3 linked regions of the Sus scrofa genome follow. The main gene of each other region encodes a partner of the protein of the gene in region 3 in a complex. Links are inferred from orthologs where the notes say so. Each region holds a gene or a part of one and is shown on either strand. Other genes may lie near its edges.

The links.
Region 1: STRN4 (region 3) and STK24 share a complex: the UniProt entries of both Homo sapiens proteins name them as parts of the core of STRIPAK complex. The link is inferred for Sus scrofa from reciprocal best matches to the Homo sapiens genes STRN4 and STK24.
Region 2: STRN4 (region 3) and STK26 share a complex: the UniProt entries of both Homo sapiens proteins name them as parts of the core of STRIPAK complex. The link is inferred for Sus scrofa from reciprocal best matches to the Homo sapiens genes STRN4 and STK26.

Annotation. Positions count from the first base shown.
Region 1 is NC_010453.5:67,562,889-67,566,631, forward strand, and holds the start of STK24 (serine/threonine-protein kinase 24), read right to left. Parts: upstream 2,755-3,743; 5' UTR 2,343-2,754; coding exon 2,301-2,342; intron 1-2,300. UniProt on the Homo sapiens protein: Serine/threonine-protein kinase that acts on both serine and threonine residues and promotes apoptosis in response to stress stimuli and caspase activation.
Region 2 is NC_010461.5:108,178,208-108,181,950, reverse strand, and holds the start of STK26 (serine/threonine-protein kinase 26), read right to left. Parts: upstream 2,722-3,743; 5' UTR 2,643-2,721; intron 2,541-2,642; 5' UTR 2,432-2,540; coding exon 2,390-2,431; intron 1-2,389. UniProt on the Homo sapiens protein: Serine/threonine-protein kinase that acts as a mediator of cell growth. Modulates apoptosis. In association with STK24 negatively regulates Golgi reorientation in polarized cell migration upon RHO activation.
Region 3 is NC_010448.4:52,614,387-52,618,029, forward strand, and holds part of STRN4 (striatin-4), read right to left. Parts: intron 3,480-3,643; coding exon 3,401-3,479; intron 1,570-3,400; coding exon 1,372-1,569; intron 1-1,371. UniProt on the Homo sapiens protein: Calmodulin-binding scaffolding protein which is the center of the striatin-interacting phosphatase and kinase (STRIPAK) complexes.

The sequences.
Region 1 (3,743 bases), on a different chromosome or scaffold from region 3:
TGGACCAGGACAGGGCACAGGGTCCTTCTTTCCTCCAGTTTCAGCCTAGAGGGCCAGCCCAGGCAGGTGCGCATTTCCTTAAACCCTCCGCGACACCTCTCAGGACGGCCTCCCTGGGCAGGAGCAGCCGCTGGTTCAAAGTAGAAACTCAATGTGCCTGTTGTTTTCCTTTTGAAGTTTAAGGGAGGGAGAGGAAAGGAATGTTCCTCCCCCAAGGGCACCAAAACCCATCACCTTACAGTGTGTGCAGACACTTCTAAACACAGGGCGAACTCGGTCAGACGCCACCTTCGCGCCCCTAAAACTCTAACAGCCGAAAATCTGGTTCTTTCATCCACATAAAAACTTAACAGCTTTTCTGAGAAAGCAAAATAAAAACAGTTCCCTGGTAACGCTACCTAGGAAATAACATTTGGGAGACAGAGTTATTTAAAGCAAGGTACCTCCTTTTTTTCCCCCAGATTTAAGAATGTGGGCCCATGCTTTGAAAACAAGATGAGGACCAAAAAAGTGTTTAAGACCACAGACCACCTGGTGACCATCTGATGCTGGCTTCAGGGCACCAGCCAGCTGGGCCTTAAGTTCCTTTTTAAACTGGTTCGCTTTCCACAAAAGCCGAACACCCCCCAGGTACTTTGAGTGAGGCGTGCGAGCTAGATTACAACCTGATTAACAGCCTAAGAGTCAGTCTAAAGAAAGCATTGAGCAAATGCTTTTTTTTTTTTTTTTTTTTTAATGTTACAAGAGGTCCTTCTTGCTCTGCTGGTCAGAAATAATTTTTCACCCAGTTCAGTTTGCCTTCCTGCCTCTAAATTCAAACCAACAAAAGCAGGAATTTTAGGAAATACCAAGAAACCACATCCGATTTTTACCTAGCAGTCAGTAGAAGCTTAGGTGGTAAATGCACGTTGCATTGAAAAATTCTTTAAATCAGAGTCAAGGACAGTTTTCCTCAAGCACAGTCAGGTTATTAACGTAAACTGTTACTCCATTTAAAAAAAAAAAAAACAAAACTCTAAAATGCTGGTAACTTTGTGCCCTTATTTTTCTAGCCAGCAATCGCGAACAATGAAATCGAGTTTTCTTTTTCTGGTTTAAGAGAGAGAAAGAGCAATGATCTCTCGCCAAAAGGGGGGCAGATTCCCAGGTCCTATGGAGTCCAGGTACTAACTTCTCAGGCCTCAAGAGTGAGGGGGAGAGAGGAAAACGAGCCCGTAGAAAGTCTCAAGATAAATAATCCGCTGGGAGACTTGTGGCTGTTTCCTTAAAGCTGGTGTGTCCCAACTCGCTTGGCTAAACCGGGAATGCAAAACTTTACCCACATACCCTAACCGTATAGTGAGATTTTAATCCCAACCATTCTCCCACCATTTATATGCCCTTACAAACATTACAAACTGGCCAAGGACGGGGGTTTTATTTTTCAAAGAGTTTTTAAACAGTCCCCCATGGCGAAAAACTTGCACGCAGTCCTGTAAATTGGAAATGCAACTTCTCTCCCCGCCCCCACCCCCCGCACCCCTGCCCCCACTCCAAAAAAAGTCACTGGAAGGCCAAGGAGCCACCAAGTAGCATCGGAGAGGTTTACTGGGAAGGGACTGGGCTGCATCCAAGGCAAAGCCCAGCGTGCCGGGATCCACCCTCGAGGGCACGGGGTTCGAAGGATCCCTTCTTCCGGAAGGTTTACGGGCTCGCACTTTCCCCTCCGTCGGCACCAGGAGGAAACGCGCCGAACAAACGCGCTGGAAGTGGAGCTGGCAGTTACACCTTCCTCCACCCCGCCCTGCCTCCGCCGCCCCGCGGGCCCCGGACCAGTCGGGGCGCGCCCGGGGCTCCCCTCCCGCCTCTCAACTTTACTGCCCCCTCGCCGGGGCGGCCCGGGGCCTCCAGCGCCCGCCGCCCGCGCCGGGGCCCAGAGAGCGAGCCGGGCCTCCAAGGGCATTTCCCCACATCACTTCTCCCCGGGGATGGGCCGGCGCGGGGCCTGCGGCTCGGGAGGCGCCGGGGGCAGAGGACGCGGGCAGGGCGAAGCGCCGGCACCCCCACGGCCCCCTCGACCCCCTGCCCGCCGGGGCCGCCTCCAGGCCGCGGCCCCAGCTCCCTGCACCCTTCCGCCCCCGAGACCCAGGCCGCGGGGCCGCTCGGGGCGCCCCGGGGGCTGCGAGCGCGGCGCGGGAGGCCGGCGCGACCCCGGAAGGGGCAGCGGAGGGGGAGGGGGCCGTGTTTACACCGCCAAGTTCCCCGCTTCCGCCCCGGCCCGGGCATCCCTCGCTGCCCTCGGCAGCCGGGTTCCTGCCTACCTGCATGCCGGGCAGGCCCGACTGCACCGGGGAGTGAGCCATGGCGGTCAGGACAGCCACTTCCTGGGACGGGACGGCCGGGCCGCGGCGATCCGCGCGGGCGACGAGGCCCGCGGGCCGCGCGCAGCCCTCGGGCGGCGGGGGCGGCCGGCCAAGCCCGAGTCCGGCTTCGGTGGGCCGGCCGGAGCCCGAGGCCACCCCAGCCCCCGCGGGTCCCGGGCCGCGCGGCGGGCTCAGGGGCCGGCGGCGGGCCGCGTCTCCATGCACCGCGCCGGGGAGGGGCTGCCAGGGGCGCGGGGCCTCGCCGCGAGCTGCTTCCGCTCCTGCCGCCGCCGCTGCCGCTTCGGCGGCTGCTGCTGCCTCTCGGCTGGGAGCCGGCGGCCTGGGCCCGTGCGCTGGCCGCCTGGAGCCGGAGTGGGCGCGCACAGCCGGCCGAGCCTGCGAGCGCCGAGCGCGCCCCGCCCCGGCCCGGCCCCCGCGCCCGCCCCCGCGGCCCGGCCGGGGACCCCGCCCCGCGCTTCCGGGAGGGGGAGGAGGAGGCTGGCGGCCGCCGGGCGCCCTAGGCCGCAGCCGCCTGCGCTGCCGCCGGCCCGGGCGGGTGGGGGTCCGCGCGTCTCCCGCGGGCTGCGCCCCCCTCCCAGCCGGCGGGGCGGAGCTGGGAAGAGGGCGCGCGGGCGGGAGTGGGGAGGGGGACACAATCGAAGGCGGTCCCGGGGCGACCGCCCCCAGGCCCCGGCCAGTCGGGCGCCCCGGGGGACTGGGCGGCCAGGGCTCGCTGAGTGCCAACTCTTGCCAGACCATCTCCCTCCTGCCCTCCGCGCGAGCCCACCCCTCCCCGCCTGGCCCCGGGGAAGCGGGCTCCCGGCGACCTCTCCGGGGGCAGAGTCGGGGCCAGGGGGACCTCGAGAGGGAGCGTGCCCAGCGGGGCCTCAGCCAGTGGCCGGTTCAAAACTACCAGGGCGGAGCTTCTTGGTGTCTGGGTGAAGTTTCCAACCAACCCAAGGAGGAAAGCGGGAGGGGAGAGGCCGAGAGTAGTTAATTCCGCGTTTTGGCGACTTGAAAACACCCTGCTTGGAATACTAGGAGCTGTAAACTTAGCTGAGGAGTGGGGGGCTGAACCCCACCCTCTCTGGGCCCCGGAGAATATGCAAATTTAAGAATATGTAAATTACAATAGGGGATCGTCTGCCCCCGAGAAGGGGAAAGTGGGGGAGGGAGGGGGAGGAGGAAGGGACACAATGAAAGGAAACCCTGTCTAGACTTTCCCCTGGCCTTCTCCCGCTCTTTCCGCTGCCTCCACCTTTTAGACACCTCTCCTCCAACTACAGAGGAAAGAAATAAGAAGGAATGAATCAGTGCTGCCTCCAGAAAGTAGTATTTTATTTACAACGACAAACAGTGGCAGCCACTGCAGTGATGTGCCGTATCCCCGGTTGTGAGGAC
Region 2 (3,743 bases), on a different chromosome or scaffold from region 3:
ATTAATTTCAAGCACACATGGCTACGTTCAGTTTTCTTACTACTGGAACGGTCTGAAAGTTGCTCCTAACTTGCTAACAAAACTCCAGGAGAATTTTACAAGCTCATCATATATTTCTGCATCTCATCTGCAATCTTTTTCAACAAAAGAATAGTCAACGTGATCAAGGCTCAAGAGTCACACTGCATGCCATCAAATTTATTTTTAGGGTACTCCACAATTTTAACTGTGGAAAACTTTTTGGGTTGCACCCAATGCTTAAGAACCACATCTACAAAGAAAATGGAAATCAGATGTTACGAATTTACCATTTCATTAAGACAGGGAAAGTGACAAATAAATATTCCTCTCTTTTCCTGCTAATATCCAGATGCCTGCCCTCCCCAAATCAGGGTGGACACAGGAGTCACAACGTGGGGCAAGGCATCAAGTGACAGGCAGAATTCGTAATTTAAAAATATGTGATTCACATTCTAAACCACCTTAATTAAGGGTGCAAAATTCAGCTGATAGGGACCTCAAGATAATGAAACAAAGCAGGGAGCCGAAAGAAATACTGAGCAGCAAGCAGTTCCTAAACCATATAAATCAAATGAGGACAAATCAAATAAGGACCAGAAACCATAGAAATCAAATAAAGTCAAGACAAATGAAATAAAGACCAGAAACCGTTTTCTCCCCCGCACACCAGAGTTCCCCAGGATCACAAACTTGATCAAAGGGAGGCCCTCGCTCTGCTGACGCAGGCAGCGCGTGCACACAATGGCCTGAGCAGGCACGGGGACCCTCAGGGACAAACCTGACATCCGTAAAGTTCACAGAATGGAAAGGAGAGCATGGTGGGAAAACGTTCGAACTTTCTCCCACATGAGACAGAGCAAAACTGTAGTTAGTCCTGCAAACTACTAATTCTCTGGGTACAATCAAAGGCAGACTGAATGAATGGGGTGAGGGGCTGGGGGTGGGGGGGGAGAGGGAGGGAAGGGGGGGTGGCCTGAGAAGAAGGAAGTTTGAGGCGTTTGGTAAAACTTGAATGGATTAACCTTTTCAAAGGCCCCAATAGTTCTCATTTCCCTTCTTCTTCCTCTCTCTCTCTCTTATTTATTTTTTGTTTTTATTAAATACACACCGACTTCCTGGGACTCAACCCAGACGTGCCCTATATTCAGCTAAAAGGCCTGGTGCCTAGACACACAGGAGTCCCAGGCTAGATCTATGTCCGACACAAATGGTCCTTTGGGGGGGGGAGAGAAAGTATTTTAAAAAGCACTTTTTGGACCATGCATAAAATGCGACCAATTGTTTTTTTTTTTTTTAAAAAGATACATTCCTTGCATCAATTGGTAATTTGAGGCCCCAATCCACAGCACTTTGATTTCTACTAGAACCATAAGCTATTTACCAAACATTCTTTTCTGAACTTGGAAAAAGGTTGTCCTCACATTTTTAGAAGATAATGAGGCTGTCGATGCTAGTCTCCGACCGATTCATAAACGGGTTGTTTATGAAAAAAAAGAAAATTCGAATGCGTAAAAGTAAGCTTGGATTACATTTAGCAGAGAGCTTGAAATGCACCGATTTAAAAAGATAAAATAGCGTGAAAAGCGTACGGACATCGCTGACTTCTTTAATAAAGTGAAAATATAAGGGGAGGCTGGGTAGCTCTCGAGTGAAAAGTTGGGTCCCCTGCCCTGTCTAGGACAAAAAGTTTCCTTTAACCACACTGTAACAGTCGTGCTGTGGGAACCGCAGAGGGAGGGAGCGGGGGAGTCATCACCTCCGCTCTGCTAACAGAGGACCCTGCATTTCTCACGCCACACGAGGGGCTGGGCCAGGTGGGGGGAGCGAGATACAACTTAAGCAGCAGCACCAAAAGGGGAAAAGAAGTCACCTCTCTTCGCCCTACGCACACAGGAAGAGCCTAATTCAAAGCCGCCACCACCGACACCCCTGGTCTTGCTCCGCCCCAACTCGTGTGTTTGTGTGTGTGTGTATGTCCGGGGGGGGGGGGCAGCACGACCTGCGTTTTATGCCCAAATTCCGAGACGCCTCCATCTCTCCCACGTGAAGTCCTCCCACCTCCGACCCCCAAGCGCATCACGCTCAGCCAGCGCAGGTGTCCGGCTCCGGCCTATTTTTATAGCCCCCCGCCGCATCCCCACCTCGCCGCGCGCCCCGGTCCCTCCGCGCGCGCCTGCCCCGCGCAGTGCACCACCTAGCTTGCGCGCCGGGAAACACTTAGACCCTCTTTCCCCGTCACCTGGCCGGAGCGACCGGCCCGGCTTCGAGGCAGCCCTGGGCCGCCTGTCCTCGCCGGTGCCCAGCGTGGAGTGCACCCTGGGCTCCCGGGCAGTCACGTGGACGGCGGGGGAGGCCCGGGCGTCCTCACCTGCATCCCCGGCACTTGGACCGCCACCGGTGAGTGGGCCATGAAGGCGAAAGCTGCTCCGCGCGGCTTCGGCGGCGGTGGCGCCTTGGGCTCCGACTGGCTCCTCCTCCGGGGGTAGGTCGGCGGCCCTCCCAGGCTTTTCGACCCGGGCCTGGAAGGACACACACAAGTGGGGTTACGGGGCGGGTAGCGCGCGCGGCCCGGGGCTGGGAGGTGGGCGGTCCGCGGCGCGGCTCCCCGGGACTCAGTCTACCTTTCTGGTGCCCGCCCGCCGCTGTGGCCGCCGCCTCCGCTGCCGCTCCTCTTCCTGAACGCCGGGCGCCGTGTGTGGCGGTGGCCGGGACCTGGGCTCGAGTGATGCCGCTCGTCTGCGCCTCGCCGCTTTAGGAAGAGGAGGTGGAGGCGCCCCAGCCACCCGCTCGCTGGCCGGGCCCGGGAGGCGGTTGGGGGCGGTTCCGCCGCTGGCCCTGCCCCCGCCCCGCTGCCGGGCGGTGTCAGGAGAGCTAGGGCTCCGCGCTGGGAAGGGGCTCGGCTGGGGTTGCTGGAGCCTGAGCCGAGGGAGACTCTCCCGGCCGGCGGAGAGGAGAAGCCGGGCACGGAGGGGCCTGGAACATTGGTCGGCCTGGAGAGAGAAAGGAAGAGTTCGGGTGACCCTTGGGGTACGAGGGCGTCCCGGACGCGGCCACGTTGCAGGCGGGCGTGCGAGGGCTGGGGCGCACGCCGCCTCGGAGAAGTCCTGAGTTGAAACTTGGCGAGTGTTGGAAGTCCTTCCGGACTCTCCGATCTGCTCGAGGCCGGGGGGTGCAGAGAGCCGCCGAGTCGCTGGACCCCAGCTCTTAACCCGAGGTCTGGGCTCCCCAGTTTGGGGCCGCGCCTCTGGGCGGGTCGGTAGCCACCCTCCGGCTTTCCGGGTTCCCCGCCCCCAGACAAGCTTCAGGTGACTTAGAAGTGAGGCTTCCCCTACCTTTTGGGCTCTCGGTTGGACAGGGGTGCGAGGCTGTGGGAGAGGGCGACCAGGCCTGGGCACAAGGTCAGTTCTGCACGTGTAAGAGAGAGGGAAATTGGAAAACAGGTGGTACATGGGCAGAGAAATGAATGAGGGTAATAGAGGCATGTGAAACGAGTTTGGGTCCTTAGCAGTACGTAGTATTATTGAACTCAGTGCTTTTGGCAGCCCCCTGCCTCCATCCCACTTGACGTGCCAGTCCAGCAGGGAGACAAGCTCTTTTGCGAATACCCGAGCAACAACAACAATAATAATAATAGCAATTAAGTAACCTCATTATGAAGGCACCTTTGGGAACCCACAAGGGGTTGTCATATGTAATATCTAAGTGTCAGTTTAAAATGAGGA
Region 3 (3,643 bases):
TGAGATATGTGCAAACATTGTCCTTTTTGGCCACTGGGCTGAGGCTCTCGAGAGTCCTTGTCAACTGCCCAGGTGTCTGGCTGCCACTGGGTGGAGCTCGCCCCTCCAGGAGATCCAAGTGTGGATCCCAGATCCTGCGCTCCCTTCCCGGCCTCCGGCAGAACGTCATGCCTGGGCCGCCTCCCGCACGGCTGCCGGGGCCTCCTCGTGTGTGGGAGACCCCTGGGCTCAGCGCTCAGACCTCCCTGCGCCAGCTACACCTGGCCTCGGTGACTGCCAAGCCCCGGGCTTTTAAACCCACCACTGCAGGTGCACTAGAGGCGCTTTAGGAGTTAGGGGCTCCCCACCCCCAGCACTGGGGTCAAACAGGCACCTCGAACTCCACGGCCCTTGATCCCCCCTCGTTCTCTCCTTCTCGGTCAACACTGCCCCAGCGGCTCAGACCACACCCTTTAACTTTTTTTTCCTCTCCCCCAACAGCCAATCCTTGAAATAGTGTCGGCTCACCCTAAAAACCTACCCCAAAGAGAAAGCAGACCGCTCCTCCCCCTGCCCCGCTAACGCCTGAGTCTCCGCCGGGCCCTCCAGCAGCCCCTCCTTCTCGAAGCACAGGACAAGCACACGACGTAGTAGTAGTACGGGTATCAGATGATGTCACACCCCTGCTTGAAACCACGGGCTTCCCACAAGCCTAGACTCTCAGCTCCACATCGTGGCCTTGAGGCCCTACATGCTCTGCCTCCTGAGATTTCAGCCCTGCTGCAGACCACAGCGCTCACTCCCTGCAGCCTCGGCCAGCTCTGAACAGGCCAGGTCTTTTCCACCTGGGAGCTTTAAATTTGCCGTTCCCTCTGCCTAGAACACTCTTCTTTCTCCCAGCTACCTGGGCGGCTGAGCCTCAGTTCCATGCACTTCCTGCCCAAACAGCACCTCCAAGAAGAGGTGCTCCCTGCTCACCCTCTCCCAAGTGCCATGACTGCCCGTCACTTTCTCACTGCCTTTCACACGGCACCTCGCGTCACCACCCTGAAGGTGTTTACTTTGATCAGGCGATTAGTGATGAGAGAGTGAACAAGTGCTCCTAGGGCTCTGTGGCCCGGGGTCTCCCTCAGCAGGGGCTCCGGGGGGGCCAGGGAGCACCAGCCTGAGGCTCAGGAGGGGATGGGCCTGGAGCTGTGGTGCACACCAGCACCAGGGCGGCACCGGGGAAGGGGTGGTGCAGGGGACCCAGGACAGAAGGTTCTGGAACAAAGAAGCCCACGACACCCTCCAGGAAGGAAGTGGCTCCCAGAGCACTGTTGACCTTCTGACCCCAACCCATCAGGAGGGAGAAGGCGCACACGGATGCACCCACCAGGCCCAAGGGCTCACCTCTTGATCTGCTCCTCGATCTGTTTCACCAGCAGCGACTCACCGCCACTGAGTCCCCCAGGGCCCGGTGTAGTCCTGAGGCCCCCTTCACTGGGCTCCACGGCCCCGTTGAGCTCCAACGAACGGCCCAGGAGGGACCGCACGCGCTTGGACCGCATGTCCAGGATGGTGTCTGTGTAGCCCACCTCTTCCAGGTACCTGCAGGGAGGCGGAGCCAGGGCAGGTCAAGGGACCTCCTGGCTTCTTTACATACTCTGGGGGCCGATGCAAACTGGGACGGCCCTCTTGGAGAAACAATTTAAGACGCCACACCGAGATTTCAAATAAGCATACCCCTGATCCTGCTGCTTCCCTTCTGAGACTGTTTCCAGGGGAAGCCTTTATACAGAGGCACCGTGCCGTCACAGGCGCTCAGAGAGCCCAGACGCAGGGGCCAAGCTACACGTCCACCTGTGGAAGCGAGCGACTGATGGATACTATGTGCCAAAGAAAGAGGCCCATGGTAAACGGCTTCGCAGGATAAGTTACATGTTCCTTAGAACTCAAGTGTTTATTAAAAAAAAAAAAAAAAAAAAATTTACGGAAAAAAAGAGGAGTTCCCGTCCTGGCTCAGTAGTTAAGGAACCTGACTAGCATCCATAGGACACGGGTTCGATCCCTGGCCCTGCTCAGTGGGTTAAGGATCCGGTGTTGCCATGAGCTGCAGTGTAGGTTGCAAATGAGGCTTGGATCCCACGTTGTTGTGGCTCTAGTGTAGGCCGGCAGCTATAGCTCCAATTAGACCCCTGGGAACCTCCATATGCTGTGGGTGCAGCCCTAAAAAGACAAAAAACCCAAAACAACAAGAACAACAACAAAACCTGAAGCCATTTGGTAAATTGGTCCAAAAACTTAAAAAAAAAAAAAAAAAAATCAATTTTGGGTATCTGTGGCTTCAAAAGACTGGCAGACAAGAGTCCCATGCTGGTCCTCAGGAGGCGCCTACAGAGCCCTCTCCGTCGACCCTGACTCTGTCCCTGTGGGAACATCAGACAGCCCCCGCCTTCGCCTGCCGTCTCCTCTCCAGGGCCTGTGTGGAGTCCCAGGCGGAGGGGCAGGGAAGCGGGCTGGGGAGGGACCGCCTGAGATCACACTGCAGACCCTCTCTGCGACCTTAAGCAAACAGATACCCTCTCTGCACCTGCTTTTGTCATCTGTGAATACAAGGGGAATGCTAGCAGTCAGGTCACACGGAGATTTATGCGAGGAATCCATGTGTGCGAAATGTTTAGCACGTGCCAGGCACCATAACAGGTACCTGGCAAGCGTCCCTGTGATAATCATTCTGTTGTCACCATTTGCACACACCTTAAGCTTGCAATTGAACTCACAGATATTTAGCTTAAGGAAATCAAGGAGATGGACACGTAATTTTCTGGTATTTGTCACAATGTCTATTAAAAACATCTTCAACAAAATAGATCAGAAGCGATGGCCACAGGAAATTATGACTATCCACGTGACAAACTATGATAAATGTCTTGAAATGATGTGACACAACTAATTTACATGGAAAGATGTTCACAACACTTAGCAAAAGCAACACATTACAGAACATTGCGAAGGAGAAACCCTCGCTTCTCTAAAACACACACACAGGCACAAATACATATCACAGCAGAAGAGACAGCATATGTGCCAAAATGTTTCCAGGGGCATGAAACTCCTTGGGGGGTGGAATTACGAGTGACTTTTATCTTTGTGTTTCCCAAATTTTCTAAAACATCCAATAAAAAACAATTTTAACATTACCCTCAGAGGAAAAAAGGCACAGAGGCACTCGGGGTCTCCTTCCAAAGTGCCTGCCTCCTGCAGGAAGTCCTCCCTTGCTCCTTCCCAGGGAGAGGGAGGGGGACGGGCCATCGCGCTGTAGCCGGCAGGGATCCTGATAGCTCAGGGTCCCCAGTGGAAACAGGAAGGACGGTGGCGTCCTCGGGCTTATCTCCCGAGCTAAACATGCCTCCCCCACCCCGTCCCTCCACACACTCACTGTCGGAGAAGCTGCCGCCCCTCCTTCCACACCAGCGGGCTGTTCTCCAGGGTGACCGACTCCACGGGGCCATTGGAGACTGGAGGGCAGAGAGAAAAGAGGCAGGCCTTCTCAGGCAGGGCTCTGCCATGCCCTGCCACCTCCTCCCCCTCCCAAACCCCAACACATCAGTCACCGTCACCATCACAGTTCCAAGGGAGTCATGTCCTGAGAGCATCCGAAACCCACCCTCTCCCCTCCTGG